3 linked regions of the Lepisosteus oculatus genome follow. The protein of the gene in region 1 purifies or fractionates together with the protein of each later gene. This does not show direct contact. Links are inferred from orthologs where the notes say so. Each region holds a gene or a part of one and is shown in the gene's direction. Other genes may lie near its edges.

Evidence for each region. Proteins that work in one complex are often made in the same cells at the same time.
Region 2: the proteins of dcp1a (region 1) and upf1 purify together in Homo sapiens (co-immunoprecipitation; 4 studies listed by BioGRID and IntAct, with this or other methods). This does not show direct contact. The link is inferred for Lepisosteus oculatus from reciprocal best matches to the Homo sapiens genes DCP1A and UPF1.
Region 3: the proteins of dcp1a (region 1) and pnrc1 purify together in Homo sapiens (affinity purification with mass spectrometry; 3 studies listed by BioGRID and IntAct, with this or other methods). This does not show direct contact. The link is inferred for Lepisosteus oculatus from reciprocal best matches to the Homo sapiens genes DCP1A and PNRC1.

Annotation. Positions count from the first base shown.
Region 1 is NC_090699.1:63,508,468-63,515,547, reverse strand, and holds the start of dcp1a (mRNA-decapping enzyme 1A), read left to right. Parts: upstream 1-4,054; 5' UTR 4,055-4,242; coding exon 4,243-4,377; intron 4,378-4,740; coding exon 4,741-4,781; intron 4,782-5,865; coding exon 5,866-5,993; intron 5,994-7,080. UniProt on the Homo sapiens protein: Necessary for the degradation of mRNAs, both in normal mRNA turnover and in nonsense-mediated mRNA decay. Removes the 7-methyl guanine cap structure from mRNA molecules, yielding a 5'-phosphorylated mRNA fragment and 7m-GDP.
Region 2 is NC_090724.1:3,883,918-3,891,418, forward strand, and holds the start of upf1 (regulator of nonsense transcripts 1), read left to right. Parts: upstream 1-4,409; 5' UTR 4,410-4,659; coding exon 4,660-4,830; intron 4,831-6,348; coding exon 6,349-6,491; intron 6,492-6,868; coding exon 6,869-6,958; intron 6,959-7,413; coding exon 7,414-7,501. UniProt on the Homo sapiens protein: RNA-dependent helicase required for nonsense-mediated decay (NMD) of aberrant mRNAs containing premature stop codons and modulates the expression level of normal mRNAs.
Region 3 is NC_090697.1:8,017,643-8,024,696, reverse strand, and holds the start of pnrc1 (proline-rich nuclear receptor coactivator 1), read left to right. Parts: upstream 1-3,962; 5' UTR 3,963-4,722; coding exon 4,723-5,133; intron 5,134-6,389; coding exon 6,390-6,863; 3' UTR 6,864-7,054. UniProt on the Homo sapiens protein: Nuclear receptor coactivator. May play a role in signal transduction.

The DNA of each region.
Region 1 (7,080 bases):
GCAGACGAGGTCCTTAGAGGTCGGTCTTTAAAAGACTCTTATTTTGGACGTTGTGTTGCAGGTATGTCCGTGAATGCTCAGTTTGAGTGACGTTCAATGTTTTGCTTTAGTCTTTTTATGATACAGAATGTCAGAATTTTGGACAAGACCGAAAACTCGTATAAATCAATTTAGGCTACTATATAGTATATAAAAGAAACTAATGTGGTTTAAGTCCCTCAGAGGCTAGTTTGTTAACTTAAAAATACATGTCCCGCGCGGTGCTTTTTGTAGAATATAATTTTGGATAATGTAATGCTGGTACTCTATACAATAAGACTAATATCTTATAGGTTTAAGAATATCCTTTTTTAAGAAACACTGTAAATCCATTTACAGCTAGAGACATATAATTAAATAAATTCATGGTCAGACTCCTGGCAGACGACATATAATGCAGACAAGCACGCAGTGTTACACACAGGTAACAGAAACATAAGCTATAAATATAAAATGGGAAATACAGTACAAGAACATACAGTAAGAAAAATGGGGCCATTCACCTGATTTGGTTTCTCAGTTGCCAATTCATCTTCCAGACAATATAGAGAAGGAAGGAGACGTACAATATTGTAAATAATATTGTGTACAATTTTGATCATTATACCTCATAAAAAAACAATTGCTGCTCTTAATTCAGCCCAAGGAAAGTCCTAGACTCACAGGTTAAAAACCCCCAAATCTCTTTCATCTTAAATGCAGAAGACTACAAGGTCTCTGAGGAGTTTAACTGAAGGGTTGAAAATTCCCAAGGCCATCGACAAAGTCCACTCTTCTTCAGAATCAATACTCCGATATGAACTGCAGTAGAGGACAACTGAAAACTAAGTGGAAATGCATTTAAAACTTAGAATAGGAGGCATGGGAGTTTGGAACAAGCTACTCAGTCGAGCTGTTGAAGCTCAAGAAACAGCTGAATGAATTCAATTAGCTACTATCAACTAAACAAGCAAGACAGATCAAATAGCCATCTATCATTTGTAACCTTTCTTGTTCTTATGTTCTATAAATATGTATTAATTTCTCTGTCTCCTAGCTTGATAAATTCAGTATTACCCCGGGAGCATCCTTGTTAGGGTGACACTGTGGATAAAAGCATTGTATCTGATTTCACATGGCATGATCATATTACTGTTGTTAACAGGAATATTCTAGAGCAGTGGTTCCTGTCCCTCGTCCTGGGGGAACCACTCCGTTGGTTTTCATTCCAGTTGAGCTCTCCATCACCAGTATTCACTGATGCCTTTAATCGATCTGATTGCTTGTTTGCTTTTGGGTTGTTCAGTTTATTTGTTTCTGCGCTCAGTCCTGAGATTCAGAAATACTCTACTGTAGGTGTATTGTTTCCAGCAACCTCTGAACACCAAACCTTGAGCGTCTCTCGAAAATTTTCCGTACCCTTATTTCTGACGTAACAGCTGCTAATATGTGGTTAATTTATAATCTGGTAAGTTAAAAACAATGAATGAGAGTAGTTCTGAAATTTAGAGGTTGGTTACAAAATCCCATTTCATCTTAATTATAGGTCAGAATTTGTGCTTTTATTTCTATCATTCTTAATAATATTCCAAAACCCGATGACAGTAGCCTTTTGCAAAGCTTCCAAAAACTGAAATCATACAACAAAACCAAAGGTATTTAATGCTGTACTCCAATTGTCCTCAATAGTAGGAAGTCATTAATGTTGATTTTTTAGTGCCAAGGACTGTAATTTAACTACAGCAGTGCGCTTTTACTTTGGTAATCATAGTCCTGTGTCATAGCTTGCTGTAAAAGAGGCCTAGAATTACTTTGTTACTATGTCTGGCTCAAAAGTGTCTTACACATTTAAAACCAAATATTAAGCAATAATATAAAGGTCCTGGTACATTATTTTATTGTCAATTACAATTTAAAGGCAAGTTATATTATGTATGTTGGAATAAAGATGTATAAATGTCCAGCAAAACATTTTTTCACGACAGCTCAATAAAACTAAAACTAAATCTGTGATAATGACAAATATGAAAATGTACAAAATCTATACAAAACCGTTATTTTAAAATCAGATGTAATATTACCCCAGATTCTGCTACTGTTCTGTTATTATGACCTCTAATCAATGAAAACAGACACCATTAAACTTAACAGTATAAAACAGGATATCTCAGCATAATTCTATAACCTAGCAACAATGTAATGTGTGAATATATAGTCTTTCATATTTTATCTGATACTAAGGGAATATCGGAACAGAATATTTCAATTCCAGATGATGCATATTTTACATTATATTATTTTGGAAAACAATTTAAAACTGAACTCTAGATTCAATATTGAAAAGGGCAACAAGTACCTGTACATATCAGAAGCACATATAGGACATGACTTAAAGAAAACGAAAGAAAAATGGATAAAAGGAAATGGTCATACTGTGGCTTCTACCATACAAACAGTATAAAGTGACCATATCTGTTGCTTACCAGTATACTAATTCTCTCCCTTTAGACAAGTATTTCACTTATACATAATTATATGTTACCCAGAGAATACACTGTATCACAAGTAATTTTAAAATATTATATTAAAGTTAGTAAGCACCACTTCCAATATGAGTCAGACTTCTTTCATGTTGTTTCAAGTTAACACTCTAAACACAGACAATACAAATGCGATATAACAAAAACTTGAAATAAAGTAATAGCAGACATATTGCTGACTTAACATTACTGTCAAGCCAAACATGCAGAACCACCTCTTATCGCATTTTTCTTTCTGTCTCCCCAACATGCAGCTCCTGTGGCATCTGTTTTCTACAGTCCGATACCATTTAAACCCCAGAAAACCAGCGTAGCCTTACCTCACCGACTTGGAAGCTCGACAAATAAAGCCATTCATCTTCTCTCGTTTTGGGACATCCGCACAACTTCAGCTATACGTTTGTCACGCATTTCGTAGTGTAACCACAAAGTGAAATGGCACTGCTGGGTGGAAGGTTTCAGGATATTGGATTACCTGTCTGCAGCAGATAATTGTTTCTCAGAGATAATCCTTGAATTATTAATCCTTCTAATGTTCTTGAGGGAAGCAAGGAGTGTCGCAACTGACCTATTTCAGCCTTCGGCCAGATAGAACATTTGTTCTCACTTCTGTTTAATTGGCTATTTTACTCATTTTATGTTTAGTGTTGTCAGATTTTTTTCCCTCTTCTGATTGTTTGGATGTCACACAGTTTATTTTAATGCTGTATGTGCAGCACTGCTCCAAGGGAGAATGCCCTAGGTATGTGGGGATTCTAAGAACTGTCTTGAACAGATTAAACCAATTTAACCGGTGCCATTACAGTCTGGAAAGGGGAGTCATGATTGGCAATTTAAGGTTGAGAAATCTGGTCTGTGTCTATTTTAAACCTCAAAGACGCACACTTTGTAGAGTAGCAAGCAAAAAAAGCCAGCCCCGCCTTCTACCATTCACAAAACAGGATAGTATCAACGCTAACTCCGCCTTACAAGCCTCGATAGGCTAATAGACAAATAATCTTATTAAAAATGTACAACGTGGGACTGGTTTAAACTGAGGCTTTTGTAAACGGGGACCTCTTGCGTTTTTTCTGTACTCTGTAATTGGATTTAGAGGCACTTTCATTCGAACCAGATAAAAGCATGTTCTGCATACGTCTGTATTAAATTTAGTTTGTGGCCACCATCAGGTTTTATATTTTACACGTGTGTGTATAAATCCAGCATTATAGATTGAAGACAGCAAAATGTAATAATTTTAAACAATTTAGATAACGGTAAAATATATAAACTTCTTTTAATGAAAATAAATAAATACATAAGAGTATAGTCCGCAATTATTTGGAGTTTGTGACGTTGATTAGCTTAGTTCTGGTTGAAATGAGTGTTTTCAGTGGTATTAGGATTTCGATTTTTACTCGGTCGGATACTCATCTCTGTGTGTTTCTATAATGTTCCTAAAATATCATGATTAGCCTGATGAGAAAGAAAAATAAAACAGTACTAAAATCTTAAATCGGCTTTTACGATTGAATAGTGACCTAATAATCTTTTCCCCTTCCCTTCGAAAGTGAACTAAGCGGAACGAAAAAGCCCTTTGTTACAGTAGGAACGTTTATTTCTAGGTCTGTTGTTGCCCTACGAGGAGGGAGTGTTCATAGAAATCCCTCCGTAGGATGCTCGTACTGGGGATTTAGAATCCAAGATGGAGGCTATCAGTAAAGTAGGACATGATATGAGTCTGGCAGCTTTAAAACAGAATGACCCTTATATTAATAGAATCATCGATGTAACCGGGCAGGTAGCACTCTATACCTTTAACTCCAAAGCAAACGAATGGGTAAGGTGTATTAAAATTTTTCGACATATAGTTTAGAAAGCGGCGAGTCTGAGGCTTGTTTCAGTGAAGTTTCTGTATGGAGCACATATTGAAACCAACTTTTATATTAAACTGACATCTCTCCCTTCAGCGGAAATGTTTTTTTAATGAACGGTTTCGAATAAAGAGATTCTGAATCTAAAAAAAAGGTGAATGAGTATCTTAAATGCTGATACGGATAGTCTTGTTAGTACATCTGGTGTTTGTAGATGGAATTCTTAAAATTGGCGTTGCATAATTTATGTTAATTTAGACTGAACCAACAGGTGAAAAGGAGTTTGAAGTAAGATTTTAAGATTGTTTTCTTTTTGTATTATATTCCAGGAGAAAACCGACATTGAGGGTACCTTATTTGTGTACGCCAGGTAACGTATTCGAAGTCGGATACGAGTATCTCTTATATCTATGATCTCCTCCCCTATCCCAGAAAAAAAAAAAACAATCAAGGTTCTGGTCACCAGTACACGTGTTTTGGTCAAGATTAGGCCTCAATATTTATGAATTTATTAAGAATCTTTTAAAATCTCAAACTATCTTATTAAAATATCTTATCAAAAAGCTGTCTCGTTCATAGTTTAATAGTCAAGAGTAGTTTGCGGTTTGGAAGTAATGGAAAAATTAACAATTCAGGTGTAAAGAGTAATAATTCTGGAAGGAGCTGTGAAGCACATAATACAATATATTCCCATCTGCAGAAAGAAACAGCTAGTATGAACACTTATTGAAACAGAGTAACGTATTTTGTATTCATTGCTTTAGATTCCAGAGCACTTAGGATTTACAGTTAGGCCACTGTTTTAAAATGTGTCCATCATGGATGTAAACCATATTGTCTTTTCCAGTATAATAATTAGTTTTTATCAGAAGCTACTGTTAAGACTGAAAATCTATAGGAGAGAAGAAGGTGTCAGTAACCAGTGCTGTAGACCAGTGAGTCAGAGACCACAGTTTTAAATTAAATCTGAAAGATAGGTCACAATTCACTTGGCACTGGATAGACATTTTGGCAATTTTAAGTCGTATTAGAACTATTTAACATTTTTAGAAGTATACATTTACAAGTCAAACCTTCAGATTTTAAGATTCACTTATGGCATAATGACTGCCAGTGTGATAAAAAATATCAATTTACACTGTTGAGAAATCTTAATCTCTCAATCTTTCACTGCAAAAACAGAATGCAACATGTAACTCGGTGAACGGTTGGCTTTGCATCATATACTCAGTCAAGACATGGAAGGTACAGCCCACTAACTCTGAATTATTAAAAATGTTACTTCTGTAGAACACTTACTCCACTTAGCGCTCTTTATATGCAGAATAAATGCACTGGTTTTAATGTTGCTGAGCTCAAGTTTTCCCAAATTGAATTTTTCGTTTGTGTGAGTTGCCAGGTTTTTAACAGGTGTTATTCCAGAATTTGAAAATGGTATTTTTTTTTAATTGTAGGTCAGCTTCTCCATATCATGGCTTTACGATAATGAACCGGCTGAACATGAAAAATCTTGTGGAGCCCATTAACAAAGACCTAGAGTTTCAGCTCCAGGACCCATTTCTTCTGTACAGAAATTCAAACTGTAAGTGCCCTCTTGTGCTGTTTCTAACTTTATCTCATACTAGGTCAAGAAGCAGTGGAGAGACCTGGGGGAGAGAGAGAGAGTCACAAATTTCTCTTTCTAGAATGTGAGTTGAAAAGGGAAAAAAAAATGCAGACAGATTTGTTGGAGAAGTTTTTGTAGTATAGAAGACTTTCTTTTTGGGAAAAGGGAAGGATTTGAAATGGACGTTCACGTGAATTAGCTGTAGACAGCACTGATGCGCCACAGGATTCTCGTTGGTGGCATTTGATCAAAAAGAGTTTTTAGGCTGCCGTCATTAACTTTATTGCTAGCTGGAATGAGCGGCCTTCTTCATGTAGTTCGTGGTACTTAGTTTCCAAATGATTTGCAAAGTTGGCTCCATGAGTAAGTTAGAAAGCGCCCCACAGTGTGCATTAGAACACATTAGCACTCTTATTAAGGATAATGCTAGCCCCTGGGAAATGTGGATTCACTTCCTTAGCACTTGAGCACAAGCTGTCTTAATGAAGTGCAGTGTTGTCTCCAGGGGCCAACTGCACAATACAGCAGAAATCCGTAGTTTCTGTAAATGTGCATCCTTCACTTGAGCAGCACCCGTCTGGTGATGTGTATCACTCGCCTGTTGGGTGCTCTCCTTGGTCTGTTTTTGCTGCCTGCCAAGTTGCATTTTCCTGGAGAAACTGCTTCTTCCTCAAGTATGTTCTGGACTAGAATAACTGTTGAACTTTTCATTCTGAAGACCGTGGGCATTGATAATACAAGTATAGCTGGAGGCAGCAGATGAAGAAAATGGGTGGGAGGGTCTCATAAAATTCATCATTGTGCTTTTCTCATAAATCACTGAGAGATTGGTGCACTTTTCAACATTAACATGAGTGAGTGGGGACGAATAGGAAGCCTTGGATCATCTGATTGCCTTGGTTATGTGCTGTGGATGGCCTGGTCAGTGTTGAGTTCGGTTCTATTTTGAAGCCAGGAGTTTGATAGTGAACATGCAGGTCCATATTTGAAGTTATGAATAGGGTGCACATGAAGAAGATGCCATCCAGCACAAAACTTGTCTTTTTGCTGTGGTTTATGTGTG
Region 2 (7,501 bases), on another chromosome or scaffold:
GCTGGATTTTGTATATTTGATATTGTTTCCATCAATGTTCTTTTGAAAGCCTGTCCACCTTTTCTGAGCAGGATTGCAATCATGAAAATCCAAGCTTGCAAGACACTATTTCTTCCTTGGATACAAACGTGGCCATCAAAATGAACTGCTGCCGCAGTTTACAGACATTTTGAATTCCGGATTGTATGAATACAAGCTTTATGCACTGTGCGTCACTTATAAATTAGTCCATTATAGCAGCTCTACATTTCGGCAATAGTATTGTCTAAAGAAAATGTGGATTTGGGGTGACTGGCATCAATCAGGATTAAGACCACTGGTCTGTGATAGGTATTGTCACTTCATTTTAAATTAAAGTTCATTTTGATTGGCTCTTGATTGCATGCAGAAACCATGCCTGTCACACACCCGATCCCTACTTTTAGCTTCTCATCAATAAACAAGGAAATTCAGCCAAATGAAATCTTGTGACCTGTACACCTGCTCTTTGCTCTTGAAGATGGTTTAGTATTTGTAGAACTGGATCTGTATTAGCAGTGCATTACGGTAATGACTTATTTTATTCGGATGGAAACAAGTCACTTGTGAGACGAACTGTCCCATGGTGAAAATTTTCCTTTTTTCTTTTTCCGTTCATCCTTGACCGCAAACTCCATTTCTGCCACTGTGTAATTACCAAGATCTTAAAAAGAGCCTAGCAGAAGCAGTTTCTAGAATTGCAGATGATGCAGAAAGAGTAGTGGGTTTGTAAAGGAGAACCATGTTGATCAGAGAATGAGGGAGTGACTGGAGGAGGGGGGTGTGGTTGTGGAAGGAAGGTTGTCACTGCCTGTGTGTTCTGTGGTGAGAGTTGCCTCTTCCTACAGGATGGTGTAAAAAGACAAATAGTTAAACTGCCTTGGGTGTAAAGAAAAAATGCCTACTTTACGTGATGAAGAACTTGGTGTCATGGGACCCCGAGTGTCAATTAAGCATGCATCAGTAAAGGATGTCTCTTGTTAACAGTGCCTTTTTAAACCAAAACATAATCTGGGGTGTTGGAAAGGGCTGTCCATGCTACTTAACACCAGTGTTACCTTAGTCAAAATCTGAGTGTCCTCAACATCAGGCCCAATTAAAAGCTCTTTCCAGTATATACTGTACCTACCTCTGTCATAATGCTCCCTTCTTTGAAATGATTTTTTTTGTGTGCTCTATATTTTAATGTGGCATCTAGATTTATATCCAATTCCACTGTAAGGAAGTATATTTTTCCCATTATTTGGTATCGGACTTTTAAGCCGAATCTTGTCTTTGTAAGTGACATCAAAATAGAAAATATGACAAAACTGGGCATGTTGGGCCCCTGTAGTGAAGAAAAATTAATAAACTCTTTATTCTCCAGTCTCTTTGCTTTGTCTTGTGCTGTTCCAAACCTGCTTCAGTATGTTACCCCCACTGTTTCTGAAAAATGTAACCCTGTCAACCATAAAACTGGGTAAATCTAAGGGACGTTACATTTAATTCATTATAGTATTTACAATTGCCAAGTCTCTTGACACTTTCAAAATATATTGTACTTGTAAGACAATTTATGTATAAATCACAGCCACATTAGCAGTCACCTAGAAGTTCAAATCCTTAATAAATACAATAATCCCTTGGGACTGACTGCTGAGAAAGTGTTTACACCAAAAGTTTTAATCAAATGCAGGATGGAAGCTACAAATTGGACATATAAAATGCATTGCTTTCATACTGGGGGACACGACCTAATCAAGCACACACTTGGGTGACGTGGTACCTATTCTGCACCAGCAGCCCCACTGCACATTAGATCAGGTAGACATGGAAAGTTGAATCCACTAAGCACAATTTAGAGATGACAATAGAATTTAGTACATTAGTTTAAACATCTACTTGCAAACAGTGGCATGGGATGTTTTCATGACTCAATAGTCAGGACCTCAGTTTCAGGTCTAAAGGACAAGCTCTTCCAGTCTCAAACATCTGTGATAGCGATTGGTAGACAAGGAAACGGGATGTGAATCTGACCACCTACAGCACTATAAAATAAGGTTGGGTGTTCTTGTGGTCCTTGTTAAAATCCAGCAAAGTGGACCTAACAGCTCTGAGTTACAAAGGTGGAACAGGTCACCAAAAAACCTTTGAATCTGTACGGAGACCCGCGACGGCATGTTGGTGAGCACCGATCTATAAAAAGATCGGTGTGTGAGCTGGAGAGTTAAATTGAATGATGTGGCACAAACCTATGATTTGCCAGAGAAAGAATGAAAGACAAAGACCCAGGCCGTAGGAGCGAGCGTTCTTGGGTGTAAAACCATTGGCCGCAGAAGGTCAGAGGTCTGGGTAGAGAAGCTGGAAGATTACAACCTTGTTGATTTATCTACATTACAAAACCATGCTTTAGCAGGAGTTTGGGTAAACAAGTTATGTAAGCCTCAGGAAGCTTGTGTTCTGTGGCTGTTGTGCGGAGGCAGTCATCTCTCCGAGAGACCCTGGGGGTGTGAGCCAGATCAACCACATCTACGGCAGCTGCGGCGAATACAGACGAAGATTTTCCACATCCCCATGAAGGAGTTACCTTCCTCATAGCTACTCTTGTCCTGCAGACTTCACTTGTCTAACTCGGCTCTCCTGTCTGTCCCCCAGGCCTGTCTACACTCTATGGGTGACGGGGCCTTCTCCTGCTCCGCCCCAGAGCTCTGGAACTCCATCCCTAAGGATATCAGAGTCACCTTGCTTGGGGGTCTTTTACATCTAGACTCAAGCCCTTCTTTTTAAAAAGGGTTTTGACTTAACTGGTGTCTGCCCCCTTGCTTTCCTACTGTATTCCATCCCCCCTTCCACTATCTCCTCTCCAACTGTATTGTTTTGTTGTTGGTTCTGTGAAGAACTTGTGGACGAGACACTTTTAAAAGTGTCTATATAAAAATAGTTTATTTGACTTGTATGCTCCAATCAGCGTGCTGCTGCTCTATGTAAGTGCTCTGTCAACGTCTCTTTCTCCCCATGCTCGCGGCTATTTCCTTCTTGCACTTTCCTGGAACTCAAAAAGAAAATCCCAACAAAGGTGAAATCCAGTGATGGCCTATTAGTTAAGTTTGCGGGAAACGTGTGGAGTTACAGCTATAGGCCACAGGACTGTGAAATGAGCACATTTAGCAAATGTGGAAAATGCATCTGAGACCATTGCTGTATGTGCAGCTAGCTGTAAAGACTGTTTCTAGGTGTTTCCATGAAAAACAAAATTTCTATTTTAATAATGAGACGTTCTCTAAACCTGCGTCGACGAACGTAGTTGCTAAGCGACCACTGTTTTTTTGCATTAAATAGCAAGTTATTTCCAAACATTCTACCTAAAGTTATTATTAGACCTAGATTCGATTACTTTGTTGAGCTGGTGCTTTAACGCAGGGCGGTTTGCTTTCCAAGCAGCCAATGAACTGGTCAAAAATGGAGTTTTCTGAGTGGTACAAACTAATTTAACGATCAGACTTTATTACAATCACAAGAAAAGCCATAGAAATATAATTACAATTGTAGAGTGTACTGTAAGTACGTTGTACATTAACTGAAGAAAAGTGAAAATAACAAAACTCGTTTCTGGGAAGATATTCAGACAGTGCTGTACCGTCTGAAAGTGGTGTTTGATGATCCGATAGCAGAGCCAACCTCGTGCTGGCGCTCAAATACTGTTGGTGGAACCCAGTCATTAAATACTGCGTTTTTTAATGCAATAAAATTGTTAAATCTGATTTAATGCTCAGCACAATTATTGGACGTACCGTATCGTGTTGCACTGTCTTGCAACAACCGAGTCTATTAAATCGTTTATCACAAATTCGGTAGTTTTGTTCAAGGGTATGAACGTCCATATAACCCCTTAAATTTATGAGCAATGGATGACGTGATCGTACACAGTGTATGCCACATTAACGAAAAAAGACCAGTCTTTGCATTTATATTGCCTTTAGACAGGATATCTTTAATACGAAATCTCCCTTTTAACGCTCCACACGGAGTAGCACAGTTTAGTAATACTCCGAGACATGTTTACCTGAAACAATATTAGGTAGTCCAAGATTAGTGGTATTAGAGGTCTGTGAAACCACTGCTTGTGATTGAGCAAAGAGCCATAAGACGGTTTTCCAGTAAAAGTATAGTCCCATTGCAGCTATACGGTCAGCTAAAGTCTCAAGTTCGGTATTTTCCTTCGGTGTTTTCCTTACATTTCAAGATCAAAATAAATCAAAATAAAAAAAGGCTTCGACGGTTGTGTATAACTTGAAAAATACGACATTTCCAAAGTTTACATCACGTTTAAGGATAGCGCCCCTTGACACACACACACCACAGTACTGCAGACGTCATCGGTCTTGGTGCAGCTTTGTGCGCATGACGTTGCGCTTCTCTGTGTAGTTGGGTATTTCGTCACGGGTTGGTGTGGGAGTTGGGAGCTCTCTCGAGCTGTGTGTGTTACTGTTTAATTTTCTGGTTCGGTTCGATTTCCGTTTACTTTCAAAGCCAGCGCGCCGCCGGGACGACACGCGTTGAGTACTGGAGAAAAACAGAGAAATAAAACTCGCCGGGGCCGGACTTTCCTGCGGTTTTTTCTTTCCCCACCTCCTTGTAAATCCGCCGGTGCTCTGAGGAGAAATGAGCGTGGAGGCGTACGGGCCGAGCTCACAGACTCTAACCTTCCTGGACACGGAGGAAGCCGAGCTGCTGGGAGCCGATACCCAGGGCTCGGAGTTCGAGTTTACCGACTTCACGCTGCCCAGCCAGACCCAAACGCAAGGACAGACCCAGAGTCAGCTGGACAACCAGGTTCGTGTGCCCGTCACACCATTACAGCTCACATTTTCGCCGAGCAGACCTCCGGCGTGCTGTTACAAAGCTACCCAGCTGAGGTAAAAGTGAAGTAGGCCCGCGTTACTTGCAGAGTCCGGGGACGTTTCCTGACTTGAGTAGCCGGCGTCGAGGAGCCGTTCCGTAGCCGCGGGCTCTCGGTTCGCTCGCTGGAGGTCTCCTTTTTTTTCCGATGGGGGAGAAACCGGTGAGCTGCCACCTTCCCGTCGGAGCACGAAAAACGCGGATTTGGCGAGAGTTTGGGTCGGGCCCGTAGTCTTTACCTGCTTCGTGTCCTCGGCGAGTGAAATTCCTCTGCCCTAGGTACTCGTGTCAGCCGGCAGCATCGCTGAAACTATTCCTACCGCAGCCCGGCAACATTTTTACGAGGAAAATTGAGCCCGAACTGACGTAGCGCGCAGTAAATTCAAAGAAATGGACCTTCACGCCGAAAAGTTGCGTGTGTCGGGTCTGTCTTTTTTGTATCAATGCCGTGTAGTCTAAGGGAGACCAACCCGGAAAAGAGGGGTTTTCGTCGGCGTGAAATCGCTCAGCATTTGTTGGGAGAAATCGCCACCTTGCCTTCACCCGGCCAGCGTGGCGAAGTTCTTAGTAGTTTTTTTTTTAAAGTTCGCCCTTTTTGCACCAAAAACGTGTCACTGAAACTTGCCGTGACGGGTTGATGTGAAACTGATAGTTTGGGAGGAGGTTACGCTAAGGGATAAAATGGTGCTGCACTTCACGGCCTGTCATTTCTACAGTTTTCTCCCCCCCCAGCAAGCGATTAATATCCGATATTAGCGGACAGGTTTGTGTCGTGTTGTGTGCGATCGCGCCCTTTTTATTTCTGTGAAGGTTGTGATGTCCCTTTTATTTCCTGTTGAATTGACCTGAAAGTGAATTCCCAGCAGCTATGACTGACAGAGTTAAGCTGTTTGAACTTGGGCTTTTCGGCAATTTGAATCTGGTTTGTTGGGTTGGCAGCCGTTAAAGAACACCAATTAATCGGGATAAAAAGCTGCTAAAAACTGAAGTATTTGCTGGGGCAGATTCGCCCGCTTTGTTATTAAACTTTCTTGTTTTCCTTGTTTCACATGGTGCCTTACTTGTCAGAATTGATCTTGGGAACAGATTTTATTAACTGATCTCAGATTGGGAGGACCGTACATCCTATATTTTTTTCTTCTAAAATTCCCTTTTTGCAACGTATTGAATGCAGTGTTTAATTTATTGCACTGTATTTTATTGATTGGACTAGTGATGTTAAGGGGATTGGGAGTGAACTTGTAATATATTTATAAAATGTGAGAAAACAGTACTAAAGGAGTATTTTACTTTATGTATGATTTCTGGTTAGGTTAGGGTTGGTCACCTGAAAGCCTTATAATTCTTTTTCATTTCGTAGTCTGTACTGCTTTTCCCAAAGTGTCGTCTTTATTGTCCATTTTTAAAGTCAGATTGCAAGAAACGCTGTTCTCCAACTTGTATGTCTTATAGGTGAATGGCCCTGATGGAGTTTTGCAGAATGGAGCTGTGGATGATGCTGTAGCAAAAACCAGCCAGCTGCTTGCTGAACTGAACTTTGAGGAAGATGAAGAGGACACCTATTACACCAAGGACCTCCCAGCCCACGCCTGCAGGTACAGGACACCAGGGGGATTTGGACTGGGCATGCTTTGCGGTTAATGCCTACTGGTGTCTGTGCAGTTGTTTGTTTTTTATTTGAATATCTTCGTTTCATTATTTTTGAAAAATGTTAAATATGCATGTTTTCTAAAATACTGTTTCTTTTGACTTCTTGTTGGGGATGGTGGTTATGTTGGGTGATTGTGTTGAATTGTAATGCAACACTTATTTCCCCTCGGGGATGAGAGAGTTTGAGAGCCTCTAGTACCGTTTTTCTTCAATACCTCCTACTGCTATGTTTGTTTTGTTGCTACTTGGTGTGTTTTGACAGCGCATGTTGCAGTAGGTGAGAAAACAAAATGTGCTTATCTTGTTAATTTCTATTTTCAAGCTACTGTGGAATTCATGATCCAGCATGTGTGGTCTACTGCAACACCAGTAAGAAATGGTTCTGTAATGGACGTGGGAATACCTCTGGCAGGTGTGTGCAACAGTTAGAAATGAAGTAGTACAGAAAAACAGCATTATTCCTGTTTCAGATTCCCTTTTCATGTTACATTTTAACCTAGTAATATTTTAATGTGAAGGATAAAGTTGGACTATTGTTGTAAATTGCTGAAGAAAGTTTTATTCTTTTGATATAACACAATATACATGTTTTATGGTAGCTGAAATGAAGATGTTCATTTAATTGTGTATAACAGCTGATTCTTGTAGATTGTTTTACTCAAAAATACTCATCAATTATGGTGAGAACAGGATTATAAGAAGATTAAATGTAACAGTGTTCAATTACACTACCAAGTCAGATTCTCTTCTTTTTGAAAGAAAGATATTAAGCTTGCATTTTGAATCTCTTATTCTATTGGTTTGTGTAGCAGTTTCCTGAAGTACAGTTGTTTCAGTAACAGCTGCTGTGCATCTTTTCTTTTTCAGCCACATTGTGAACCACCTTGTCAGGGCGAAATGTAAAGAAGTGACTCTCCATAAGGATGGTCCTCTTGGGGAGACGGTCTTGGAGTGC
Region 3 (7,054 bases), on another chromosome or scaffold:
ATACTGTACATCTATTAATATAGTATTTGTCTGAAAAACAGTGTACCACACAAATTGTGGTCTTTCATACATCCAAATACTACTGCATAACGCAACACTTTGGATCGTCCAAAAACCTAATTTGAAGGGCAGTTAGATCTTGAAGATACTCCATAAAGCGGTTTACATTAAACTTGAAGAGGCATTGGGATTCACACTGCTTTACGACATTAGCTAATATTGTAGCAGGGAAGTAGTACCCTACAAGAGGATGACGAAATAGAACTGAAAGGTCTATTTGCATAAGAGCGTGCCTGATATTCAGTAGTGGTGTAATTGATGCCGATTGTTGCTGGTGATGTTCTGAAACTATTCTCTGTGTGCTAGCTGACAGAATGTGTGGGCTCTAGCACTTGGAACCCTGTAGGGTAGTGTCTACTGGGCAGCTGAGGAGACTTCAGCTTTGGCTGCAGGCACCTGGCAAAAAATGGAAACATCTGGGTAAAGGAGAAACATCAAGCAGATTGAAAGCTTCTACACAGGTGTGGCTCATGCATTAATCCAGCGAATGACATTCCAGCATGTTTAGGGTCAAGAATAAAAGTTCTGGACAGGTCAGAACTAGCATGGCTGAAAGAGGAGATCTCAGTGACTTTGAGAGAGCGGGTGCTTCTTGGGACGTGTTTGGTAAGAGCTTCAGGGACCAAGATGGCTCAATTTCCTGAGGTTTCATGAGTAACTGTGTTGGAGGTGATGTCGACATGAACTTCTGCGGGAAAGCTGGGTGGAACAGTGGAACGGGAGGGCCCTACTCCAGGATTGTGAAATCTGTGCATTTGTTTGAAGCTCAGGGCAAAACAGTCGAGCAACTGGAGATCAAACTTTAATTAAACGGGCTGGTGATGGCTCCACAGAGCAGGACATCATCGGGCTGCAATGCACAAACTGCTTGTTGCACCTGACAGTGCATGTTTGCAAGTCCACTGGTGTAAAGAGTGCACTGCATAATCATGGAGGCATGTGATCAGATGATTCATCTTTCACTGCTTTCTCAGTAAATGGATGAGTGCTGACTTGAACTCTATTGCTGAGAGTGCCTGATCCCAGCTGTGAAGGGTACTGATGGTTCTGTGGGATTGCGGGGTTCATTTGTTGGTATTTGGGCAGACTCATTCCACATTCACTCGGTCAATGCCCATAGCTTCTTAATGGGTTTGAGTGACCATCTTCAACCCATTTCTCTCCTGCCATCAGGGTTGTTCCTGGATGATGCAGCTCCTCTCCACAGAGCTCCTGTGGTCACCCGGTGGTTTGCGCATGACAGTTATCCATATGGATACTGGACTGGCCTTCTCAGTTACCAGCCCTGAACCCACTGAGGTGTTTATGAGATACTCTGGAGTACCTGCTTGCTTTCTACATCCATTAACCAGGCATGAGTTGTCTGATAGTTGAGATGAGTTGCCACATCCCTCCTGCAGAATTCCAAATACCCGCAGACTCTGTGCTGTGGTCCATATGTGCCACACAATGCCCTATTATGTGTGTTTACATTGTTTGCATTTGCTGTCCACTACCCATAGGCAGTCAACGCTTTGTGTGAAGAAATGCCTCCTGTTCTCAGTAAAATATACTCCCTTGCACAGCTCCATCTGAGTGCTCTGGTTTGTGTTGTTGAGTTGGAAATAGTCCCTAGTATTTTGATTACTGAATAAGTTCCCCTTATTTTATTCTCTGCTTCACCATGTGATTTCTTAGTCTTAATTTGTGTTAATCTTCCAGCTCTAGTATAACTTCTGAACTTAACTTACTTTACCACAATCTAGATTTTTTTATATAAATTAATAAGAGTAGTGGTTTTCATATAGCTCCTGTGTGGTATACCACCACCTACAACTCCCCAGTTTTAAACACACCTTTGCTTTCTGTTTTATATGCATTAACCAATTCTCAATTCAAAGATACTTTAATTTGATTATCCACCACTTGCAATTTGAGAATTATTTTTCTGTAGAATTTTATCAAATGCCTTCTGAAAGCTTAGAAATACACTAGTTCTTGTTCTACCCATATCTGCTTTAAAGAAATTGAATACTTTGAAGCGTATTTATTCTGAAACCAGCTGAATGAGATTATTGTAAACAGGGGCCAAGCAACTAATTTCATAACGTGTTAAAGTATTTTTTGTACAGCTGAACTAATTTCTGTTTGACATAGCAAAGGGGTGAAAACCAAAAACATTATAGTTTTTCCTTTCAGTTTTTGTATACATTTCATTTCTTTCACCCATTAAAAGTTTTGATTGAAATAGTGCGTGCATCGCTTGCATTTCAGTAAAATAGGACATCATTGGAAAATAAGTGAATAATTTCGCAGGACACAAACACGAGAGGATGCAAAGTATTTTGCAGGACATTCTTTTTGAATGCAGCATGTGAGCATTAAAACTGAATAGCTGAACTCTTTTGCCCCATGCCCTGGCTAATCCAATTAGTGTTTTTTTCTATGAGTTGTACACAATTATTTGGTTTGTGAATCTATTGTTCAATTGTTCAGTGTGAACAGGAAGGGAAATGGAAAAAAAACCCATTACAAATACAATTCAAGAGCTGTTGGTTTCATTTTGTTATTGGAAAATCCTTTTCCATGAGGATGAAGTGAATTCACAGTAGAGGATTATGGACAGTTTTTGATCAATTTAAGTGCACATTGGGAAATACCCACAGTTAAGTGCAACTTTCTTTCTTCCTGCATGAAACATGACTGCACAAAGAAATTCCAGGAATGACTCTCACTTCTACTCTTCATTCTCTATGTTGTAATAATTCCTTTATTCTAGAATTTGTATGGCTATTTAATGTAGATTGTTTGAATATTTTTTCTCATCAAATTCACTTTGTAGTAGTTGGATCTGTGTAATTGAGTTGAAAGACTATGGGTTCACATTTTCGATGGAGCACTGCTGTTCGCTCATACTTCTATGGTAGAAAGCCGAGCTGTATAAAATGATACACATGGAAGTTGCTTTCGTTAACAACATCAGTTAAATAATTATTTGACTGAATTACTCTGATTGTCTTTTAATTATACCAAAATATTTAAATTACAGTAATTATTTATATATACTATGTCAGCACTCAAATAATCCTTGGGTTACAGTACAGCACGGTTACATCTCAAACAGTGGCCAAGTCCTGCTCTTGTAAGCTATATTTAAATCAAAAGGTTTTAGGGTAAAATACTGTACCACTTACCCTGGTTATGAGTATTAGGAGTAGAATATGAAGCATCACTAGCAGTAGTATTTACAGGAATATTCTCTTGAAATATTCCTGTAAAAGTCTGTAAATTACATCATATAAAACTTTCCAATACAATTGACCTAAATAAGAAGGAATTGATAAAGTTGATAAGGAATACCATATATATACTGTATAAACGTAGGGATGTCCGTAGTTTTTGTAGCTCACTAAACAACTGAACTTGTTGTTTCGCTAATACAATTTAGCCTGTATTAGCGAGTGAGAAATTGTATATGCACAATAAGTGTTAAGCTACAACACTAAATGAGCTAAATATTTTCTGTACAGTATTTCATATTATGAAAATGAGATTTATAAATGTTTTATAGAGCGTTACCAAAGAACAGTCATCAGAAACAATCCACGTTTTCATAGAATTTTAATTTAATTTTAATTAAGTCGGTTACAAATGACCAGATTACAGGGCTTCACATCGCTGATAATATATATATATGAAAAATATTAAACATATATGCATTACATACTTGTATATAAAGACCGACTTTACACTGTGAATTCCTTTGCAGCGCGTCACGCTGAATTACTGTACATTGCATCATTAAGCAGTTTCCACTACGTAAGGCAACCGGTCGAAGTTTTAATAACTTCCTCAAAACTCCCAGTTTCGGAAAGTCCCTGGTACAACGAGCAAATGAGATTGAGATGTTGCGTATATGACGTCTCTTAAAAAGGAGGTCCCAGTGGCAGGAATAGAAACGGGCGATTGGCGTAGCAGTTGTAGTTAATACCTTCGAGGCGTTCCCGTGTTTGTTTTAGCCTGCATTGTGTTGCTTTTATAGAGGAGGTGCGGACGGGGTTTGTGTTGGTAAAATCATTAAGCAACATAGTGGGAGACGGCCTTGAAAAGCATAAAGTTTGAATTTCTGAGAACATTTTAGACAAAGGGCAGCGTCTTGATCGACACCGAGCAGCTCGACCTAACACATCTAACTCAAATTTGCGTCGTGGTCTTGACGTTGTTTACGAAACGTAGCGCATTAAGTTTTCAGGTTTCAGAATACAGATGTTAAAATCCACGCAAAAGGGTAGATCGGCGAAAGTAGCACTCGTTTGCTTTTTAATCTTGTTTCTCTTTGCGCGGAGTCGTTGGCGTGTTCTCGGATTTTTTGTTTACAATAAGGAAGTGAATCTTCCTGCTCCGCCATTTTCGTTTACTCTGTATCCTGCGCCATCTCTTTAAAGGGGACTTTTTGGCAAGAGAAAAAACAATTTTTTCGGAAAGAAAAGATTTTCGGAATCGGAAGATAAACAAAGGCCGAGGCTCCAGGTACAGCTTTACTTGACTTGTTTAGCAAGCGAGCAGGTTGGACTCAACAAAGAGTGAGGAAACGGCCGTGCGGAGCAAGTATATGGGCTCATTGACAAGGAGTCGGAGCTGTTTTGAAAGGAAAGTTTTTTTTTTTGCCGCTCCAGGTAGCCGATGTATCCTCCTTCGTGCGACTTTCAGATCATGCTCGGGGAAACTCTCAGCCACCACATCGAGTCTAAACTCGATAACATCGAGAACAGCAAGCCCACCCCCGTCGGGTCGAACCTGAACAAAAGGCAGGCGCTGCTGAAGAAAGGGGGGAGGCGAGTGCGCTCAGCCTCCACGGGCTTGCAGAACCGACACCATTACCACCTCCTTCACCACCACCACCACCAGCAGCAGCAGCAGGGCCAGAAACACCCGGCTCTGCTCCGAAATGGCACCACACGCTTCACAGACATCAACAACAACAGCAGCAGCAGCCCCGGGGCTGGCATCAAAAAGACTGAGGCTGTCGCCAACCGAGCGCAGGCTGCTACTGCAATTACACTCCACCACCTCAAGCAAGGGGCCAAAAAGGAGGTAAGATGTCGATATAGTTCTCGTTTGTGAAACATCACCGGGTGCGTGATAAAGACGAGAACAACGGGTGGCGATATTACTGTTGTAGAGGGTCCCAGGAACCGTGTCATCGGTGTCAAAGGTGGTGGGGGGCAACAGCTTGTTTTGCTACCTGATGTAATTCGCTTGATGTATACCAATAACGGAAGTGAACATTTCACGTTTTATTTGTTTAGAATAGTTTAGTAACGCATCCATGCGTAAATATTGTGGTCGTTGAGGTGACGACACTTCATTAAGGGCTGTGGGTCCCCAGCGTTTGTTTTGTATACATTGCCCATTATGTGGTGCGCTGGGTTAGCTGCCCGCTACCGCTGTTCCAATTCGGCGGAAATCAAACGAGTTTGGTTGACCCACCGCTGGAAAATATGACGGCGGTTCTCAGATCAGCCAATCAGCGCGGCGGTCCTCGGCAATATGAATAAGTAATGAGGAGCCGCGAGCCTGCGGGGGCGGGCGGTAGTGGGTTAGGTTGTGCCAGGTGCGAACGTGCAGTTTGAGCCGAGGTTGATGAAGGATCCTCAACAGTTTTCTGATGGCGCTGTGCCAAGGCGGTCGGGTTATTATGTAATAATAATAACCCCGAAACCGGATGACATAGCCTAATAACCGCCTTGTTGTTTAAACGTCATTACTGGATTTATTTTTCTTGCGATATAAGCTTGACCTGCCCAGCAGCGGGATGAAGTTGGAAATTACCCCTGAATGTTCTTCGGTTACCTATTGTAGAAATTACATAACGTCTAGAATCACTACTGTAAACAAAAAACGCAGATTCCTTTGTAGTTTGTGATTGAAGTATCGGATAACATGGAAAGCATGTTGCACTATTGTGCTTTTTCGACACTCAATCTGAATATACCTATGCACGTTTTGTTTTACAGTGAGCATATTTTGCAAACACTTATATATTTATTGTGTATTACTGTACGTATTTTAATTTTCCGTCTATTCTGATGTCTTGTTTTTGCTTGTCTTGGGCTGGGCCTGCTGTAACGCCTCGATTTCCCTTCGGGATCAATAAAGTCTTGTCTCTCTGGAACATCAAAACCTCTTTAACCGACACTGAAAGTGACAACACAAAGAGTTCAAACAGCGAGGTCGTTTCTCCGATGTACTGCGAGATGGGAGAAACATTTTTCTAAGGAGCCGTCCTTAAACGCGGGTTTAAGTTGTTGCGATCTAAAGGCGCATTTATTCTTATTTATTCCCCTTAGGTATTGAAGTCAAAAACAGGAAGAGCCGACAGAGCCCCCTTTACCAGCGGCCACTCTGTGTACAACCTGAACAAATGTGAGCAGCCAGCCCAGCCTCTGAATGGCAGCAGCCAGAGGGCCAGGCCCAGCACGCTCGGCGAGGTCTCCCCAGCGAGGGGGCAGGAGAACGGCCCCCGCCTCAGGTCTCCTCCTCTGGAGCTGTGCGGCGGCGAGGGGAAGAAACCGCTACACTCGGGTGACGTTTTCCACAAGCTGGCCGCAGTCCGCGCGGCCGAGCCCGGCCCCGAAGAGCCCCTCAGGGATGGCGAGAAGAACTACGCCGGCGCCAAGTTCAGCGAGCCGCCCTCCCCCAGCGTGCTCCCCAAGCCCCCGAGCCATTGGGTGGGGGAGAGGGGCCCCCGGGCCAGCGGCCCCAGCCGGGAGCTCATGACCGTTCACCTGAAGACTCTGCTGAAGGTCCAGGCGGAGCCGTGACTGGAGATTCGGAAGCAGAAGAAAAAAAAAACGTCGTACCCCTCTGGGAATCGGCACTGAAAACACGACTCGGAGGAGCACTGGAATAGGAAATCGTTGCAACAGGAAGTCCCGAAGTTTTGGGCTGTTTTAGATTTTATACTTGTGCAGAACAGCGGCCTTGTACAGTTTAAGAAACTTGTGTAAATGTA